Linked DNA regions of Lepisosteus oculatus. The protein of the gene in region 2 purifies or fractionates together with the protein of the main gene of each other region. This does not show direct contact. Links are inferred from orthologs where the notes say so. Each region holds a gene or a part of one and is shown on either strand. Other genes may lie near its edges.

Region 1 (8,935 bases), about 19 Mb from region 2:
TAACGGCTCTCATGAGCTATTAATAGTGAAGAGCTATTATGAGCATCATTCTTATGGAAATATGAGCAATGCAATTCCTGATGACAAAAACATACAGTATGAGTGGTGTATAGAGATGTTCACCACTGTGCTTACTTATCTTAGACACAGTGGGTATTATGAAGCAGCAACAATTTAGTTAATACCTCCACTAGTGTTTTCTATTATAACGCCTTTGATTTTTCTGAGGTGCTCCTTGTCATTAACAAAATCGTCTCCTCTTTCCTCTCTTTAATAGTCATAAAGCTGAAAGGCTATTTTTGTACTATAAAACAGAATCTGGGGATTAGTTAAAATAAAATGGTTAACAATTCAGTTGAAGATTGCCATATAATTGAATGTTTGCAAAAATAAGCAAAATCAATTAGTTTAAAAGGAGGACGATATGAAATGTCAAACAAGTATACACTGTACTGTATATACTGTACAGTATGTGTTAATAGCATTTTTTTCCATGGCATGCATGAAGATACTTTTTTTCAAAAAGAATATGGAAATTAAAACTGGTATCAGAATACTGATGTACTAGTCACGAGGAAATCCCTGTTTGGACGTTTAAGCCTAGATTTTTTTTTTATTGTTTTGGTTATTTTTATTTTATTAGAGGTATACAGACAAGTACAGCCGTCTGTCAGCGGTTCCCTCTTGTGGTTTTCGTGCGGAATCGCATGTAAAAATGATAAAAATTGACGGCAAGCATTTCTTTGGTGAGAAAAAAATGAATAGTGGATAAAGGTTGTGAAAGGAGGGTCTTCTTATCTGCATTTAAATCGGGTAAGACTCTTTATCTTTTTCTTATCGATGTATCAGAGGATTTACGTCAGGCTTACTTTGTATAGATCATAAGGAATAAGAGTTCTCGGTATGTCCACGATTTATTTGAAAACATGGACGCACAGAGTTGCTGTGCAAGCGAGCCGCATCTTTCCCGTAAGGATTTCTTTAAAGGTAATATTAACGTATGGGTCACGTGTCTTGAAAGGACGCACGTTAAATTGTTTTACCTTTAAGATAAAAAAGTAACACTAATGAAGCTTTGGCATTTCTGCTTAATCCATTGGGAGCAGTGAGGTTGGAATGTAATTTGACGAGTGTTCCGTGAAATCTAAAATAAAATCTGTTTCATGTCAGTAATGACATTTAAACGTAAGAGCTGTTCAAATTGATGAGCATACTGTAGCAAGCCTGACGTTATTTTATTTTCACAATAAAGCGGGATGAGCATAAATGTAATAGTTAAAGTCAACAAAATGCAATTCGCCGAATTAATCAAATACAATTTGGGGTTTTTTTTTGCAATATTTTACGAATATCAAGTATGGGTTACTAACGAGTCCAAAACACTGTACGTCTTAGGTCTACTTATCTCCAAAAGAAAATGTTTCTGATGCTCATGTTTCTTTAAGGCTATGGAAAGGAAGATTTGCGTATACTGTATCTGACAACCGTCTTCCTTCAGCCCTTCAAAGCACTTGAAGTAAAGTGTTGCAGGTTTTACGTGTTTGATGGCAATATAAACCTGGATTTGTCCTATGACCACTTTACACACGTGTGTTACTGCTGCGTACAACAGAATTTGCGGCATTTCGTCTATGGACCGTTTGATGTTTAGGAAGTCGAAAGCATGCATCATGATAGATTAAAGCTCCACTGCATTTACTAGACTTGATATGAGAGATTTCGGTACCTGAAGTACTAGTGCTTGCTCATTATTGGACTAAAAGTCAACCGACTTTGTTTGTGCCTCAAAGAAAGTTTAGCAGCAGGACTTGGGTGAGATTGTTCTGTCATTAATAAGGTCAACGGTGAGGTCACGTAGGCCAGTCATCAAGTGAGGTAGCATGCTGATTTGCAATACAATATAGGTTTGGAACCTCAGAAAGTAGGCAATGTCAACCTTTTTTCGCCCAGAAAAAAAAGGTAAAAAACTTAGCTTTCTGAATTAGATAATCGATAACTACTGTAGCACAAATCCCTTTGGCAGAATACTGGGACATGCCAGAAATTAAAAGATACTCATTCAAAATTGTTTTACAAGTGACAAATGCAATCATTTTAATTTTAAATATCTGCTTCTGGCACTACTGTGTAAATCCAGGTATCCAATTTGTATCTCATGCTTTTTTGCGCAGTTTGAAGTTTTATCTAAATGAGTTAGAAACAAAAGTTTTAGGACTATTTACTGTATACTTACTGTTTAACAATGAAAAACATAGTTTGTAGTATACTAAATAACTACCATATTTTTAACTGCAAAAATTCCTCTTTGAAAATAATTAGAAAAGGTTGAAAGTCAGTTAGACATGAACATGCTGAATACAGTGGCTCTCAGTCATTAAGTTTCATAAATGCAGATTCTCCAGTACTCCTAACATCCTCTGAACAACTTGACATCATTATACTGGTGTAGTAAAAATCTTTCATTAAAGTCAAACAATTGGTCTCAGTGCACGCCTTGCCAGAACATTGCCACTTCAGTGAACTCTCGTGTTCTTTTATTTTGTTAATCTGTACAGTCCACTTTTTGATCTGTAGAGCTCTTGAGCAAAGTACAGGTGTCATTCACTGCCAATGAATACAATGAATAGAAGCTCTTTGCCATACAGTTTTGTGGAGCAGACTTTTCTCATTACAGCTCATTTCAGGGCTTCCTGCTGCCAAATTAATCCTGTTAATTTAAGGAGTTTTACATACTCTCTACAAGCAAGTTTATCTAATCACTTCAGATTAAGCTGTTGATTTTCAAAGACTGTCAGGCTCAGTGAGTTTTGGCTTGCTTTGAACTTGGGTCTCCCACCTACTAGTCAGAACCCTCTTTTGCTCTTTTTGTCATAGCACAGAATATTCATTCAAATTTTTCATTCTTTCATTTCATTTAGTTGATTGTGTGAATGTATGTGTACTTTTTTATGCCAATATAATGAGGAATTGACTTTTTGCAATGTTACTTTTCCCACATTAAAAAAGTGGCATGTTTCAGGACAACAGGGTCTGTTGTTCAATGCTGAGTCCAATTGCTATCTGGACTGTGCATTTTCTGTAAAAAAACATTTAGACGTTAGATTTACTGTGAAACAGTAGGGGTCTCTGACTCCTGAACTGTGCTAACAGGCACACTTTGTAAGAAGCAGCAGTCAGGAGGATTTTCTTCAGTTATTGAGAATGCTGGAGTGCACTCTATGAAATTGTCTCCCTGCAGTACAAAAGGTGACAAATAGACAGCTCTGAAGAGTCAGGAATCACAAATATTCACATCTTCTACGTGCTGAAGTTGTGAACGTAGTTTTAGTAGGTAATTGGGTATCTAGCCTTCAATCAGTAGGATGCAACAAAATACCTTTAAGAGGGGTGCCTGAGTACAGTTTTAGATAACAGGTCTTAAAATCTTAAATTCTAGTGCATTAGGCTTGTTCCTCAGCCTCAGCTGCTTCCAAGAGAATTATGTTTACAAACCTGTCTAACTGGGTTGAAGACCTGCCCTCTTCCACACCTTGCCATTAAATCTCCCCCCCTCAGTTCAGACATGGGCTACTCACCTGCCTCAGCAAAAGTGATGATTTCCGAAGTTTGCTCCGCCAGCTCGCTCATCTCTGCCCGGCTGTGAGCCTCATCCTCAATCTCCACGTTGCCATCCTCGCCAACTTTTCCCACGTGTAGTTTTTTGATGGCATTCAGCAGGGCTGCCCTGGGCACGGGGTGGGTGATGTTGGGTCTTTCCTTCAGATGCAGCATGCTCAAGATGTGCTTCTTGACGGCCTCGACCATATCTGCTTGGGAGCTGGCAGGCACATCTTTCTGCAGCTTGGAGAGGGCACAAGAGGGACAGTCGGTGACCGGCGTGTGTCCATCAGGGGAGCCAGGGGTGGGAGAGCTCCCTGCCAAAATCCCAGAGAAGAGCAACAACATTCCACTCAGCAGAGAAAAAGACATCCTGAAAGAGTCAATCTGAGTTGTAAGTTTTCCCCCTTTTTACACTAAAACTGAAAAAAAAAACAAAGTAGAAACTAAGCAAAAATAAAGTATAATCCCTTTTTTTAAAATAAAGAAGCAAGAGCAAACACTTTGCAGATCTGGAAAGTTTGAGTCTGGTAGCTACCGAAGTCTTGATCAGTTAGTCAAAAAAAGTTTTTCTAAGTTTATCAGCTGAAGTTCTGTGGCAGTGTAGATGTGTAGTGCTGGAGGGATGTGCAGAGCACCCGATAGGTCTCAGTGAGTTCGCTGTGTATGAGCTGAATGGTTTTGTATAAGTGGGCAGGGTTAGCTCACTCACTCTCTCACTCTCTCTCCCTCTAATTATACCTCGCTCCCTCCCAGTTTTTCTATCACTATACTTCTGAGTCATGTTATACCAACTTTTTCTTTTTTTTATTGCTTGTCACCCTGCATATTATACATAAACTTCACCTCCTTTTCATGTTCTTATCTTGTTCTGGTTTTCTGCTTCTCTCAAGCTTCTCATTTATTTAACTACAAAAATATATCATTAACGTGTGAAAAGGCTTGATACTGTCCAACTGGGTCTAATTGTACAGGTGCAATCAATGTTATCATTCATAATCGATTCTTTTTTGCATTTTTGATGATTTAATATTAAGGAAACTATGTGTATTATCTTAGAAGCATTTCACTGCAAACATTTGTGAACATCTGGTAAGGTTTTATTAATGCTGAATAAAATCTGTAAATTAGCCTTTCTTGCTGCGCTGGGCCAGTGGACATAGTTATACATGAAATACCTATCACTTTGTAACTCACTTCCTCTGTATCATAAATAACCTCTTTGAAGACAGCACCTTGATTTTTGTCTAGATTATTATTGTTCTTCTAAACAAAATGTTTTTGAGTTTAAAGCTCAACTATACACACACTAAACAATTAGTCAGAAAGGAGCACATTGGAAAGTAAAGGTTTCCTCGTTTCCTGATGTACTTGCTTTTGAAAAAATGTCATTTTGTGACTAAGTGCTTTGTATAACCACAACTCATTTTTAACAATCATTCAGAAAAAGTCTGACAAGGAAATTTCTCAAAACCATAAGCTAGGTTCCTGAATGGTTTGGCTATGGCCTCCTGTTGGAGCACAAGTTGGACCCTGTACTGCAGTTCAGAGATCACTGGTTCAAATCTAGGCAATGTCATGAGCTACATATATCCCTGGTCAGGGTTTCCCAGAGGAAACGTCACATTTGACAAAGTACTGCCAGGGGTTTGAGGTTGGCCAGGGTTTTCCTGTGGTCCGGCTCCAATGACTTTGCAGTGTGTGCCTTCTTCAGCTCTCTTATACTGTACTTTAGAAGTCATTTTGACACTTTCTAGAAAATTTTAAGCAAGAGAATAGTCATTGTTCTTTGTTTCCTTTTAATTTTTTAGTTTACTTAACAGACATGAACAAACGTGCTCTTGATTTCTTTGAAGAAATCTCAAAGGACATGCATTCTGGGCTCTTTCTTTCCTTTTTTGTAAAGACTTAGCAACTGCACAGCTTACATTGACTTATTCAGGTATTTTGGTTATGTCCATATGAACTAGTGAGGTCAATTAACTCAGCAGCAGCCTCTGCTGGCAAAAAATGTTTCTTTCACCCAAATTTCAGTAACCTAGCAACCTAACAACTATTACTGTGCTCTTCACAACTCCTGTTCTCTTATTTCTGTTACCTCTCAACTTCATGCTCCGCAGGGTAGGTAATTAATTTCAGAACTTGCGCCATCTTCATGCTCTCAGTACATATTAAATTCATCTTGAGTGATGCTGGCCTGGAGTTGGGTATACTTCCTTGGAATGCTTGTGATCAGACCTCTTAAGGTCAAACAATATTTTGAAGAAGTGGGATGTTATTAATATTATGTTATTTTTTCCTGCATATTCCCCATTTTCTTGTCAGCCCTCAGTATTGCAGCTGTTGTAGCTGATTAGCACAGACAGATGGCTTAATATTACTAGTGTTGGCCTGCTTTCGATCTGGAGGGATGTGAGTGGTGATCCCATCACTCTCATCATCCTGGGACTCAGAGTAGGCCTGCAGATGCAGTGTGACTCCTCGTTGGCATGGGTGTGAGCTCTGTTATTAATGTTGGCCTAAAGGGGAAAAAAATGAGGAGGAATAATACAGTTGCAGCTCAGTCATATAGAGGTGGAGACCTTTAAGGGCAAATATTGGTAGGACTGCTTACATCCCACATCTCAAGAAAAAAAAAAAGTTCTGCATTGGACTAAAACATTATTCTTCTCTTGGAGGAAAAAGTTGACAAAATAACATTTTTGAAGAAGATGTGAATGATCAAATGTAGACAATTATATAACATTAACACATGAACAATGTAATGCAAGATTACTTTTTGGAAAGGCGAGAGGTGGTTCTGTCTAATCTGAACTGTCATGTGAAATTTGTTTAAAGGCTTTATTTTAGTCATTTTTACATCCTGTATTTATCATACCAAATTTTACCTCCCCACACACACTTCTCAGATTGTTTGGCCTGATTTATTCATCTCCTCTCAAAATATCTACATTTCAGCCTTATCTTATTAGGATAATACCTGCAACAGTCTTGCAGAACTACATGAGGATTCCCCCATGACTGGTAGTAACTAGATCTATTTCTCTCATATCTTCAGAGCAATTTCTGAACACTGGCCTTCCTTTTCAGTAGAATGAACTAAATTTGTCTGTCTATAATGATTTCCCCCCTGTCTCTTATCTTATGAGTGCTTAGAACAAAATTCTGTGGTTCATAGTGCCAGCTAAACCCATTTTCTAACTTGCAGCCAAAAGCAAACACAGATAAATTTCATTATGGTAGATATGCATATATAGTATTATTTTCACTATAATGTTGTTTTCCATCTACTATCTTACAAACATCACCATGACTTCCCTATTTCGTTTCTAGCATTGCTGTATTATCAGATTTCACAAGTTTTTTTTTAATGAAAAACTTACAGTTGAGCTAGAAGGCATTACTAAAGTTTTGCCTGACCAAATTAATATTTTTGGAAGCTCGTTGATTAAAAATAGTTGGAAGGGACAACCATGTTTTTTTTTTCCCACTAGGGGGCAAACTATCTCTAAAGTATAGTTAGTGCTGAATTGTCCTGGAGGCAGGACAGAATGATGTAGTGCTGGAATGGAGGACGTGCTCAGAACTTAAGTCCTCACAATTTTAGGAGGGGGAACATTTGCTAAATGATTCACTTTTTCTAACCATGAAGCATCACTGTGGCTATCCTGCTGTTTGTGCTAGATAGGGTGGGTGGTGAAATGATTAAAACATTTTGATCTCATAACTGATACTTTTTTATTAAGAAGATATAGTATCAGATATGTTATTTGATGCTATTTTGAGCTAGCTGAATGTGACATAATGCAGCTACAAATACAGTACATGCCACTTTTTACTGCTAATTAATGAAATGATCTCATTCTGCTGCTCTCAGAAATGTTTGATTAGTAAGAAAAACATTTTTAACAATGGGTCAGAGTAATGCATTACTTTTGATTGGATCTCTGAGAATAAACTCAGTAATTTTAAATGAGTAAAAGTCTTGGATTTCCCTGTTAACTTGCGTGTTTGCCAAATTTCTATACAACTGTGCTGAATTAGCTCTGCCACAGAAGCTTTACATGGTGAAGCCAAATGTAGCAGTATTCTTCAGACAGGAACTTGTCAATGGGATGGTTTACAATTATAGACCAAATAACATGAATGAGTAAAAATATAGTTTGTCTGCACTTCGTGGCATTTTGTGTGCTATGAGAATTTATCCTAAAATACAATTTAATATATATATATTATATCTAAGGTGCGGCACAATGGTGCTTTGGATAACCAGCCTCGCAGTGGTGAGACCCTGGGATAAAGTCCTGGGGTGCTGTTTGTGTGGAGTTTGTATGTTGTCCCTGTGTACATATGGTTTTTCTCCAGGTTTCCCGGTTTCCTCCCACAGTACAAAGACATACTGGCACCTGAAAAAGTGATCCAGGTGTGAGTGTGTGCAGGTCTGTGCCTGTGTGTGTCCTGTGATGGACTGTGGTCTCGTCCAGGGTGTATCCTGTCTTGCTCTTGTTGCCAACTGTGTTGGATGGATGGATAGATCTCGTACCTAACAATATTTAGTGTATGTATGATATAATTCAAAAATAATGTACTGTATTTTAACAAAAGCTACAAAAGAGGAAACAATCTTCACAAATTTAGGAAACATGTATTGCAGGTATTTTTTTTCCATTCTTAAATGTTTCTTGTGTTTTAGAACAATTGAATGAAAAAACATGACAATCTCAACAGTTTAATGTTGACATACATACACTATATATTGTTAGGTACGAGATCTATCCATCCATCCAACACAGTTGAACAATTCTTACCTACTGTGAACCTAGCAAAAGAACACACACGTTAACTGTTAAATCATTAAGAACATTTAAAGTTTATTAAACCATTCATTTTTTTAATGTCAGACATAATAAAGCCATTGATTCCACCACTTCCTACACAGAGAAAAAACCTGGTCAAATGATAATTTATACACTTGAAGTGCTGGGTTCATCTGCCTTTTTCTGTTTTCAATCAGACTAAAATTGTATTGAAGGGACCACTTAATGTGATGCTCTTGATTAGCTCTAGATTCTCACTACAAACCTGATTTACCAGTAGAACTTCAGTAAGTAAAGTAAGTCATCCTCAGAAAGACTTTAAGTGATTTCTTAGTCGACAACAATTTTTCTTATTGAGATTAATATTGTGAGATTTAGAGCCTAATGCTCTGATTTCAAAGTTCTATTAATAATATTAAAAATGACTTGTTTCCTAAACGATTGTAGAGGCCTTGGGCATTATTTTATACAAGAGGGGTCTTGAAAGAATCTTTCATACTAAATTGTCAGCACTTAGGAGC
Region 2 (10,017 bases):
GTAAGACTATTAAATATGATCATTTTCATAGCCAATTTGTAAAGTTTTATCAAAGCAGACATTTGCACAGTCCATTGTGAATTGTCTATCTTTATACATCCTTTCGATATGGACGAGGTGGATAGAGAATAAAAGCTCAATTCTACCATAATCAAAAATATTACCAACACCACCTTTGTTCTCTTAGAGAAAAAAAAATAGTGCCTGCCGCTTTAAATCCTGGCTCTTGCTGGAGTGTGCCCATCCCCCCATTTCCCCAATGTTTATCGCTACCCTCCATCAAACCAAAATACTACAAAGCAAATACACTGCAACAAACTAACCCCAGCATTTCTCTATTTTATCAGCTTGGTTAAAATAATCAGGTTATGCTAAAGTGATCAGATTTTACAACATTCAAACATGGTACCACCATAACCTTTTTTCTCCTCTTTCCAATAACCATGTGGCCAAAACCTTTGAAAATTTGCAACTGAACAGAGCGCCCAGTAGACATGGTAGAGATACGCTGTTAATACTGATCCAGCAGTCATGTGATAAGAGGGCTATTACAACATCATCCCACCCCACCCCCTCAATCCCTCACACACAAACAGAAGCCACACACCCAACAATACTGAAGAGCGAGCACGGATTCATTGAGACAGCAGAGTTCAAAACCTACAGCATTCCTTTTTTGTGTTCAGTTATCGGCAATAAAACCACGATAAGGGTGTAGGTGCTACTTAATCGCCACACAGATTTGAATGAATACACATTACCAAGGAAGCGCTTTTATATGGAATCGCACATTTAAGAAGGAAGTCGTTTGGAGGTGCATCTCAAAACATCTGCAGTTGAAAGAGAGGGAATCTTTTATCTTCTCCGTTTGAGTATTCCGGAATCACAAGTTAAATTATGATGGTTTAATCACTCAGATTATGTGAATTATAAAATGTCCCAAACACCAATGCAATACATGCACCAAGTAAAATGACAGATTATATGAACTTTTTCCCCCCAATGATCACAAACTTCTGTAAATTTCAGCATTGATTGCATGTTCACAATTAATCACCACAGCTACTGTTCTAATAAATTAGACCTATTAGCTCATTTACTATTATTTTGTTTTCCTTAAATTAACGCGTTTATGTCTAAAAAACATTTTATGGATAAAAAAGCTCGAAGAAAAAAATACTGCGATTACAAACGAACTTTTTGTGAAATAGAATATGCCATCTGGTTAAAAAAAAAAACATAAAATCCTTCCATAGAGTAGTCTTTTAAAAATGGTAATTCACTTAGCTCGTCATAAAGTAGCAATATGTTGATACAATGTTTTTTCGATAAAGCCGGTCTTATATGCAATGTGTACAAACCCATTACAGTTACATTAACAACCGAGGAGTTTAATTTTAGTTTAACAAAATAGTAGCATTTTATTATTGTTGGAGCCCATAAGCTCCAATACTCGACCTCGAGACCTATTTTATATTCCTACTCAAAGATGCACACAAAAACTGACCAGGCAATTGCTGTTTTAAGTCCTTCTAATAATCAAGAAACCTCTAATAACTTAAAGAAAATATACATATGCCACTTAAACATTGTTTTAAACTTCATGCTTTCATGGGAATCCTCCCAGATTTCTGTATCATCTTAAAAACTCAAATTAAAAAAAAAGTGAAAATGACACAAATGTCATAGTTGTCAGTAAACATTCTTATCAACTTTTTCCAGAAGTAAATTTAGCAAAACTGCTTAAAGACGCCACAGAGCTCAAGCCAAAACGGCACAAAAATCCAAAACCTGACCTTAAAAAACAAAAAAGCAAGATACGATGTAAAGCCAATAACAATAGTTCAGTTCAGGATAGTACAGGAAAAGCGAATTAGCAATGATCAAAATTAAACGTAAAGTATGAACAATATTCCTCTAAAAACAAAGAGCAATAAGCACATTTTACTTGCTACGGTCACATTTTCTCTTGAGCGTATTACATCAACATTTATTACATTCAAAACGCAAGCTATACAATAGCCTTTGCGCATTCAACGCAGGACCTAACAAAGAAAAACAAAGCTAGCCCGAGCAATTTCACGTGCTCATTTTGTAAACATTTTGACTAAAAGGAAAATAAACGCAAATGCACGACTAAAGTCCGCTATACGAGTGTTAAAATAAATTGGAACAACCGTCTTTGTGATTCGTGCTTTAGTTCTCTTACGAAGAAAAATTGCGAAAACAGAGCATAGTTCAATTGCCATTTAAATAAGGAAAAGACGTGATTTTATAAACAAAAAAACAGACCTACATCGGTATTTAACAATTCGCCAAATTAGGTGCATGTTACAGAACAGCGTCATTTTGATATTTTAGAAGGTGTTTTCATATTTACTTTCAGTAAAGGGAGAAAGTAACACTTAATTCGAATTTAATTTCTTTACTATGAAAATACGCACAAAGGGTTGTTTTCACTCCCCCCGGTACCCCTCCCCCAAACTCGTCAAAACAAGGAGGGAACCGCACAACAAAGCAGCCATGCAGGATCCAAAATTCAATTATCTGTTCATTTAAATCGAAATCAATGTTTATGGATGTAATTACTAACGAAACAGGTAATACGGAAATGCATGTTTCACCAAGATCAGTTAGCATGCAAGTTTGATATCGTGCCCGGAAAACAAAACATCCAGGCAGTATCGTGTTCTTGATTATACTACTAGTTGTGCAAATCTGGTTGGGGGACTAAAATGGTTCTATCAAAAATGCTGAAGCAATTACACCCACATGCCAAGTTTCATCTCACCATTCTCGGTTATGTTGTGAAAGATGGACATTTGAGCTAAAACAGACTGCATTCGCCGAAGAGGGAACATCGTTATCTGTCGCACGTGGTAATTTAAAACGAGGGATTTAATGGGGAAAATGCGAAGGAATCCGAAACCAGTGCGGTTGGTATTCTACAACTTTCAATTAGATCATTCCTATCGCAAACCAGCCCACATGACTACTGGGTAAAAACAAAGTCCACTCTTTCATTTTTAAAAGTGCACATCTCTACAGAAACATTTTTGCAGTAATCTAAGCAATGTTCATGAAATTGTCAATGTAAGGACTCGTCTAAACAACAAAAACAATGTGTTGCTACCTGAGCTACAAAAAATGTTAACAATAACGATTCGATGAGCAAGTAGTGGTCGGAGAAACATTTTCACAAATTGCTTGCAATTGTAACATTTTCGATTGTTACAGAGCCCTTTATAACGTAATACCATGAAGCGTACCTTTAACAACCCTGGATCATTCAAATTTGATACCCTGTTCAGTAACACCAAAAGTACACATAAAATAAAGAATTAAAAAGTTCCTAAATGCGACGCTACTCATTAAAAGATAGAAATGACTAAAGAATTTGTACCACAATGACGAGTGAAAAATATTTTAAAACCGAATCCCACAGAAAACAAACTGCAAGGAAATTATTCTGCCACTTTCGGCCACCCCTTGAACAACGTCCTCGGCCAAATTCATGTGGGTTTTACGATTATATCAAATTCATTAATCGCAACAAATGAATAAACAAGTCCTTACCTGCACAAAAAGTTCCCCAAAGAAGCGCAAAAGTCAGCCAGGACGCAAACATATTCCTTTAATTTGAGAAAAGCGCACCAGATTTTCTCCGTTTAAAGCGCTTTTCCTTTCCGAACATTTAAAGAGCTTATCAGCACAACACAACGAGCCAAATGACCCAGGGCCCCAGATGTCCAAAGCACCAAGAGAGTTTGCGTTGCTTTTGTGTGTGGAGCCCAGTGGGAAAAATGTTCGGGTACGGATAATAAAAAACTTTAAAATATAGGCAAATCCATCGGGAGAAAATAATTTCCAGATATTAATGTCAATAATACAAAACAACTCTGCCTGCTGTATTGTAGTGTTTTTCCCCGTCTACCTTTCGCGCTACCCCCTTTTTTGCTTAAAAACACTGAATAGCCAGAGAGACTGGGCTAAATTGACATGCAAGAAACTGAACTGAGTCCAAAATGGCTTCTGAGAGGAGAAGAGAGTAAAGCAAAGCCAGTTGGGAAACCCGGATGTTTAAATACAAAGAGAGGAATGCAATCAAAGAGGCAGGGTAGGGGGGTGCAGTAATGTTGTTATTGGGCTTGCAGTGGCGATCTAGTAAGAGAGCCCGCAAGCCAAGTGGAACCACGGCGAGAAAGGAGGATAGTATTACAAACCGTTAGTAAGACATTCCCAGGAAGTGTACGGTCGATTGAAAATATTAAGAACGACGTTTTAATTATCAGTTTATGTATAGACTCTAGGAATCCACGGGAAAGCAATAAAGCACAGCCCAAAGCCTGTAAGCAATTCCTGTGATATTGCATATAGTCTAGAATGCATACCATTATCTCTGCAAACACGTGAATACGAGATGAAATCGACAAGAACATTTGTTTTAAAAAAACAAGCTACTCCCGTATAGCATGTCACTCTGTGGCAACAATATCAGTTATGCTGAACTAACTATGTTATGGTCATGGCCTGAAAGTTCAGAAATAAGTGTCATCATTGTACATAAAATTGTACGTAGGCTAATTCTTACCCAGGAATTTTAGAATGAAAAGGGAATAGTGCATATACTCTATAGAATTAAGACCAGCCTTATCAGTAATAAAGGAAGTCGGTGGTTGTTTTTATTTCTTCTCGGGTTTTGTGATAACTTCAATGTACTGTAGCTTTCAGTTGTATTATAACTATCAGCAGTAGAAATACATTGTGTTAAAGTGTATGTAAAATCAACACCATTTAATATTAGTGTGGGAGAATACAGGAAGACGTAGGCAAAAAAAAACATGTATTAGCATCAGATAGTGATCGCTGTTATATATTAAGCATGCTTTAATTTACACTAAGGGTTGTTAAAACCATTACAGCATCGTCAATTTTGCATTGAAATTCACCTGACCTATTTCTGGGACGTTTTTTTTTCACATTTAGAGACGTTTAGATATATAAAAAGAGATACAAAAGATGGAGGAAGTGCAATTGCTGTGTATACATTTTGAGAGTTTTGCCGCAAATTAATTTACCCCGTCTAATATCCAATTTTTCATGTTATTTTACGTTTAAAAAAGTGTACCAATACAAAAGTGTAAACAGACATTCACATAGACAAAAGAGTCATTAAAAACAATCAAGTACGTAAAATAGCTGTTGCATTTTTAATGCCTCTCAGTATATGTGAAAGTATTTCTCAGTATATGTGAAAGTATTAATGTATTAAAAACTCACTTTCTCTTTCAGGCCACATGGAGCTACCCCTTAAGGTGACTTCTTTATTGCTCTCCAGTAATTGATTTGTGAGAAAGAGCTACTGAGTGTTTATACTGAAATAAAAGAGTTTTAAACCAGTTGAACGGAGGTAGCTTACTTTAAGGGAAATAAATGATTTAAGGCTGCGTAAATTTATGTAGGCATGTTAAAGATGGAGAAAAATGCCTCACACGTTCATACTGTACATTGTGTGATTAGATCAGGCTTTCAAGTAGCACAGATTTTTAGAGCACTATCTTTGCTCCTGTCTTGGTTTCTTCTTTCTGTTTCCTTCTTTCTTTCATCTGATTCCCTGGATTCACAGAAGGCGGTGAACAGCTTGAGAGTTTAGTTTTACTACAGAATTCTGCAGCAGCCACTGACACGCATTCTGAGGTCTCATAAGAACTTAAGAAAGGTTTAAAACTAGAGGAGACCACTCAGCCTATCGAGCCCATTTGGAATGGTAATTAGTACTTAATTAATCCAAGGACCTCGTCCTAGGGATACACCGAGGACAGAAAGCCAGTCTATCTCAGAACACACACAAAGACACATACCAGGTTCAGTTTTTAAAGAAGCCAATTAACCTACCAGGAAGTCTTTTGGACTGTGGGAGGAAATTGGAGCACACAGAGGAAACGCAGACAAACACAAGGAGAACATACAAACTCCACTCAGATTGCAACCCCAGAACTGAACCCAAGTCCTCAGAGCTGCAAGGAAGCAATGCTAACCACTGTGCCACCATACTGCCCAATTGTACCAGTTAGTAGTACAAATGGAACAGTTCATAATATCATTCAGCTCAAATGCAAAACATTAGTACCAAGAGTGATGAATTTGAAGGGACTGGGAATTTTGATGTTGGAATGCTGGAATGTTACAGCATTTGGTTGCAGATCATCTAAGTGTACATGCAGCAACCATTTGCTGTTAGTGCCAAGACAACTGGTGACAACTGGTTGTGTTAGTGGTAGTCCCTATTCTGGTACCTTACATACAGTATCACCGCAGGAAGACGTGAAAGGAACTTTTCTTTATCAGCATTGCAACCAGTTTCAATGAAGCAGAGACGCAACAGATGCTGTAATCTGAACCTAAAACATTCAAAATACCGACAGAATATTTTCTGCAGTACATCAAAGCCTTATGGTAAACTGTGTATTGTGGTGTCGTTGGCTTTGTCATAGCCAATTCTTACCAATTAACACTGATTCGCCCAGCAGAAGCAGGCAGTTTAAGAAGCTGACGTCCAGTTAAAGAAATTTGCATTAACACGTTTTGTAAGAGGAGGAGTGATAGTGCAGGGTGCAACTAGTTCAGCTCAGGGTTTATCAGAATCTGCTATTCAGGGTAAACACAGCCCCAAGTGGGCAAAATCTTGCAATAGGTCTTCCACAAACTAATTAATGCAACCTTGCAGACAAAGACATCTTATTTTCTAATCCTATAATGCCAGCCTCCACTCAACTAGGGTTAAGCAAGCATTCCTTCATGCATACGATATTCAAGTGTAGGATTGACCTTCAAGTTCACCTGATATGAGTGCAGCTGAACCTTTGTGGGATGTGTTGGGCCATCATATTCAACCATGATGCAGTATCTTCAGCCTTAGGCCATTGCAGGAATTTCTGCAGGATGTACAGTTCTCTCAAAAGTCTGTTTAAGATGTGGTTTATGGCTTATGGCTTATGGCTTGTTTCAGGGCTCCAGGTGGTCACACCTGTTACTTGGCATCTGTGATCCCCGCCAAAGCCTGGCCATATAAGTGTGGAATGTGTTTCATCAGGTTTTTGCAGTGATAAACAAAGCAATGAATTTACCATATGCATCTTCTGTCACAGGGACATATTTTAGTGTTATAAAAGTATTTCAACCATGGAAATGTGTTTTACGTCACTCTGTACATTTAATGTGCCTTCAAGAACGTATCACAAAAGATAAAATTGTTTCTTTAAAGTTCAATTAAATTAAATCAATATGAAACTCACTCTTAAGTGTGTTTTGTTAAAAGAAAAGTATTACTGAATTTTAGCCTTCTTGATACACAGTCCCATTATTTGCAAATCTGTATCTCAATTTCATGGTCTTAACACTTAACTTTTTGTTAGCTTTGAAGCAGTTACATTAAAAGCTTTATGGAAAAGGTGCATTTATAATTTGTGCTTTGAAACAAGGTATTGTGTGTCCTGCATTACACCAATAAAATGTACATCATTAGCAATATGGCATAAAGGTATAACTTCATACTTAAATGAACACTTTATGGTGCAAAACATAAAGTATATTATTGCTTTTGGGACCACATTTCAAAAATAAATTTTTAAAATGTATATCATTTTTATTTTTTCTGATTTTTTCAGTGCTGCACTAAAAATATTTTAATATTTTAGTTTTCACACCCTTTGTGAAGTGTGAACTGTATGTGTGCCTTTACAGTAATAATGATGGTGAAACAATACCAACATATTTGCTCAAATATAATTCTGTTTATGAAGGTAACAAAACTTTTGACCCTTAAATATGTTTTATACAAGTGGTGCATAAACTCTGCCACAATTCTAAACCAAAGCAAAAAATCTATGATTAAAATGAATTAACATCAGTGAACCTCATTGTATATGTTTTTTACTTCAGAAAAGCAATATATATATATTTTTCAAAATCAATCTTTTACAAAATAAAAATGTCCTTTAGAGGCAGATACCAAATAACATCAAATATGTTCATAAAATCTTATCAATATGTGAAGAATTACAGGGAGCAGGAGGCCTTTGGCCTGTCTTATTCTTCTGATTGCTAGAAACTAAAAGATCTAAGAATCTGGTCTAACTGCATCTTGATGTATGATGACTAAATACAGTAGCTTGTTAAAGACTGACAACTCTTTGTGAAAAGAAGTGCTTCATATTTATACTTTGTCACTCAATACCTTTCAAGATTCTGAATAGTTATGTTAAGTCACCTTGTTACTTCATTTTTCTGTAGCCTGAAGACATTCAATTGCTTCAACCTGTCTATGCATAACTTTTTTAGACTTAAAATTATTGTGATCACTCCTCTAGAAACTCTTCTTTGGGCAACACTGTCATCTTTGTTGTATAGTAACCGAAAACATGCACTTTACATTGTGAAAACTTACTATAACTTCCATTGGTTTGCATTATGCACTTTGCACTATATACCCTAGATCTTGAGCCAAAATATACCCTTAAAGCCTAGTAACCCTAGTAAAAGTAATTGTTTTATATCCTATCTGATACTAATTACTTGTATTCCTTTTACTCTCTGCATACATTGATTTTTAAAACATATTGATTTTTTATTTTTTGCAACTTTTACATGGTTTGCAGTCACCCTGTTTTTCTTTAAACATTAAAAAGCTTACTAGCAATTGCACTGTCAAGTTTATGTAAGTTACTGTAGGAACAGCAAGACTATCCTTTAAATGTAGTTTACAGCTAAAAGATTCTTGTTGATTCTAATGTCTTCAAAACTTTATACGTAATGAAGACTTACTGGTCTTTAGGTGACTGGCTAAGATTTTACCCTCTTTTAGTGGATGGGTGTTAGATGTGCAATTCTCTATCTGTATATACAACTGTTAAAAGAGTAATGATTAATTGACTATGAATAATATCTAATTTCTGAGGTGATTTGCTTATGTAGTCCTTGACACTGCAACATACACCTTTGGTAATACTAAGATTAATCAAAACTGAACTGTTCACTTATTTCATTTTTAGGCATGTTGTCAATCACTCCATTAATGAACACATATTACCATTTTCTTTCTTAGTCTATGGGTTCTGCCTTATATCTGCTTAATATTTTACATCAGTTTTACATCAGATCAGTGCTTTCTCAAAATGACAATACAGACAACATAGTCAAAACTGTGCATGCATATATAATATATATAATAAAACACGTTGTGAAGATTAAATAATTTTGTATCATTCAAAGTCTTGTTTAAGAATAATAATGTAAATATTCTGAACTATTTTTGATTGAGTAATAATGTAGACAGATTTTACCATTTGTGAGATTCAAATAAACAAGGCTTAAGAATTTGTCACCTTGGGAATCATTTCACTTTTCATGCACAATGAATGTTGCCATTTGAGATGTTACTGATCTATTACCTTTAGAGAATGAATCTATTTTTTTTAAGTTAAACAAGTTACGTGCTAATTGGAATATTACTTTTGTTGTCATTACTTGTATTCTACCCTCCATAACATTTTGCAGTTGTCAATGCCTTATCATCAATTAAGTTTAGTTTCTGCACATTTTGATTTCATTTTTGCTAAGTGATTATTTTTCTAAAGCTGGAAAAACACAAATTATTTACACTCAGACTAAATTATAAAAATGGTATCAAAGCATTCATTCAAAGCCCAAATAAGTGCAGTTAGCATTTCAGTTCTGGCCAAGAAATGGGTGGCACGGTGGTTCAGTGGTTAGCATTGGTGCCACACTGCACCAGGTTCAATTCCTGGAGTGCTGTCTGTGGGGAGAGTTTGTTTTGTCCCTGTGTTCACGTGGGTTTCCTCTAGGTGCTCTGGTTTCCTCCCACAGTCCAAGTCATACTGGTAGGCTAATTGGCTTCTGGGAAAATCGTTCCTAGTATGAGTGTGTGTGTTTGTGTCTGTCTGCCCTGTGATGGACTGGCTTCCCATCCTGGGTGAATCCTGCTTTGTGCCCATTGCT

Evidence for each region.
Region 1: the proteins of acvr2ba (region 2) and inhbab purify together in Homo sapiens (affinity purification with western blotting; 3 studies listed by BioGRID and IntAct, with this or other methods). This does not show direct contact. The link is inferred for Lepisosteus oculatus from reciprocal best matches to the Homo sapiens genes ACVR2B and INHBA.

The regions. Positions count from the first base shown.
Region 1 is NC_090701.1:16,471,237-16,480,171, reverse strand, and holds the start of inhbab (inhibin subunit beta Ab), read right to left. Parts: upstream 3,970-8,935; coding exon 3,576-3,969; intron 814-3,575; exon of another isoform or gene 592-813; intron 1-591. UniProt on the Homo sapiens protein: Inhibins/activins are involved in regulating a number of diverse functions such as hypothalamic and pituitary hormone secretion, gonadal hormone secretion, germ cell development and maturation, erythroid differentiation, insulin secretion, nerve cell survival, embryonic axial development or bone growth, depending on their subunit composition.
Region 2 is NC_090701.1:35,707,417-35,717,433, forward strand, and holds the start of acvr2ba (activin receptor type-2B), read right to left. Parts: upstream 4,047-10,017; 5' UTR 3,629-4,046; coding exon 3,577-3,628; intron 1-3,576. UniProt on the Homo sapiens protein: Transmembrane serine/threonine kinase activin type-2 receptor forming an activin receptor complex with activin type-1 serine/threonine kinase receptors (ACVR1, ACVR1B or ACVR1c).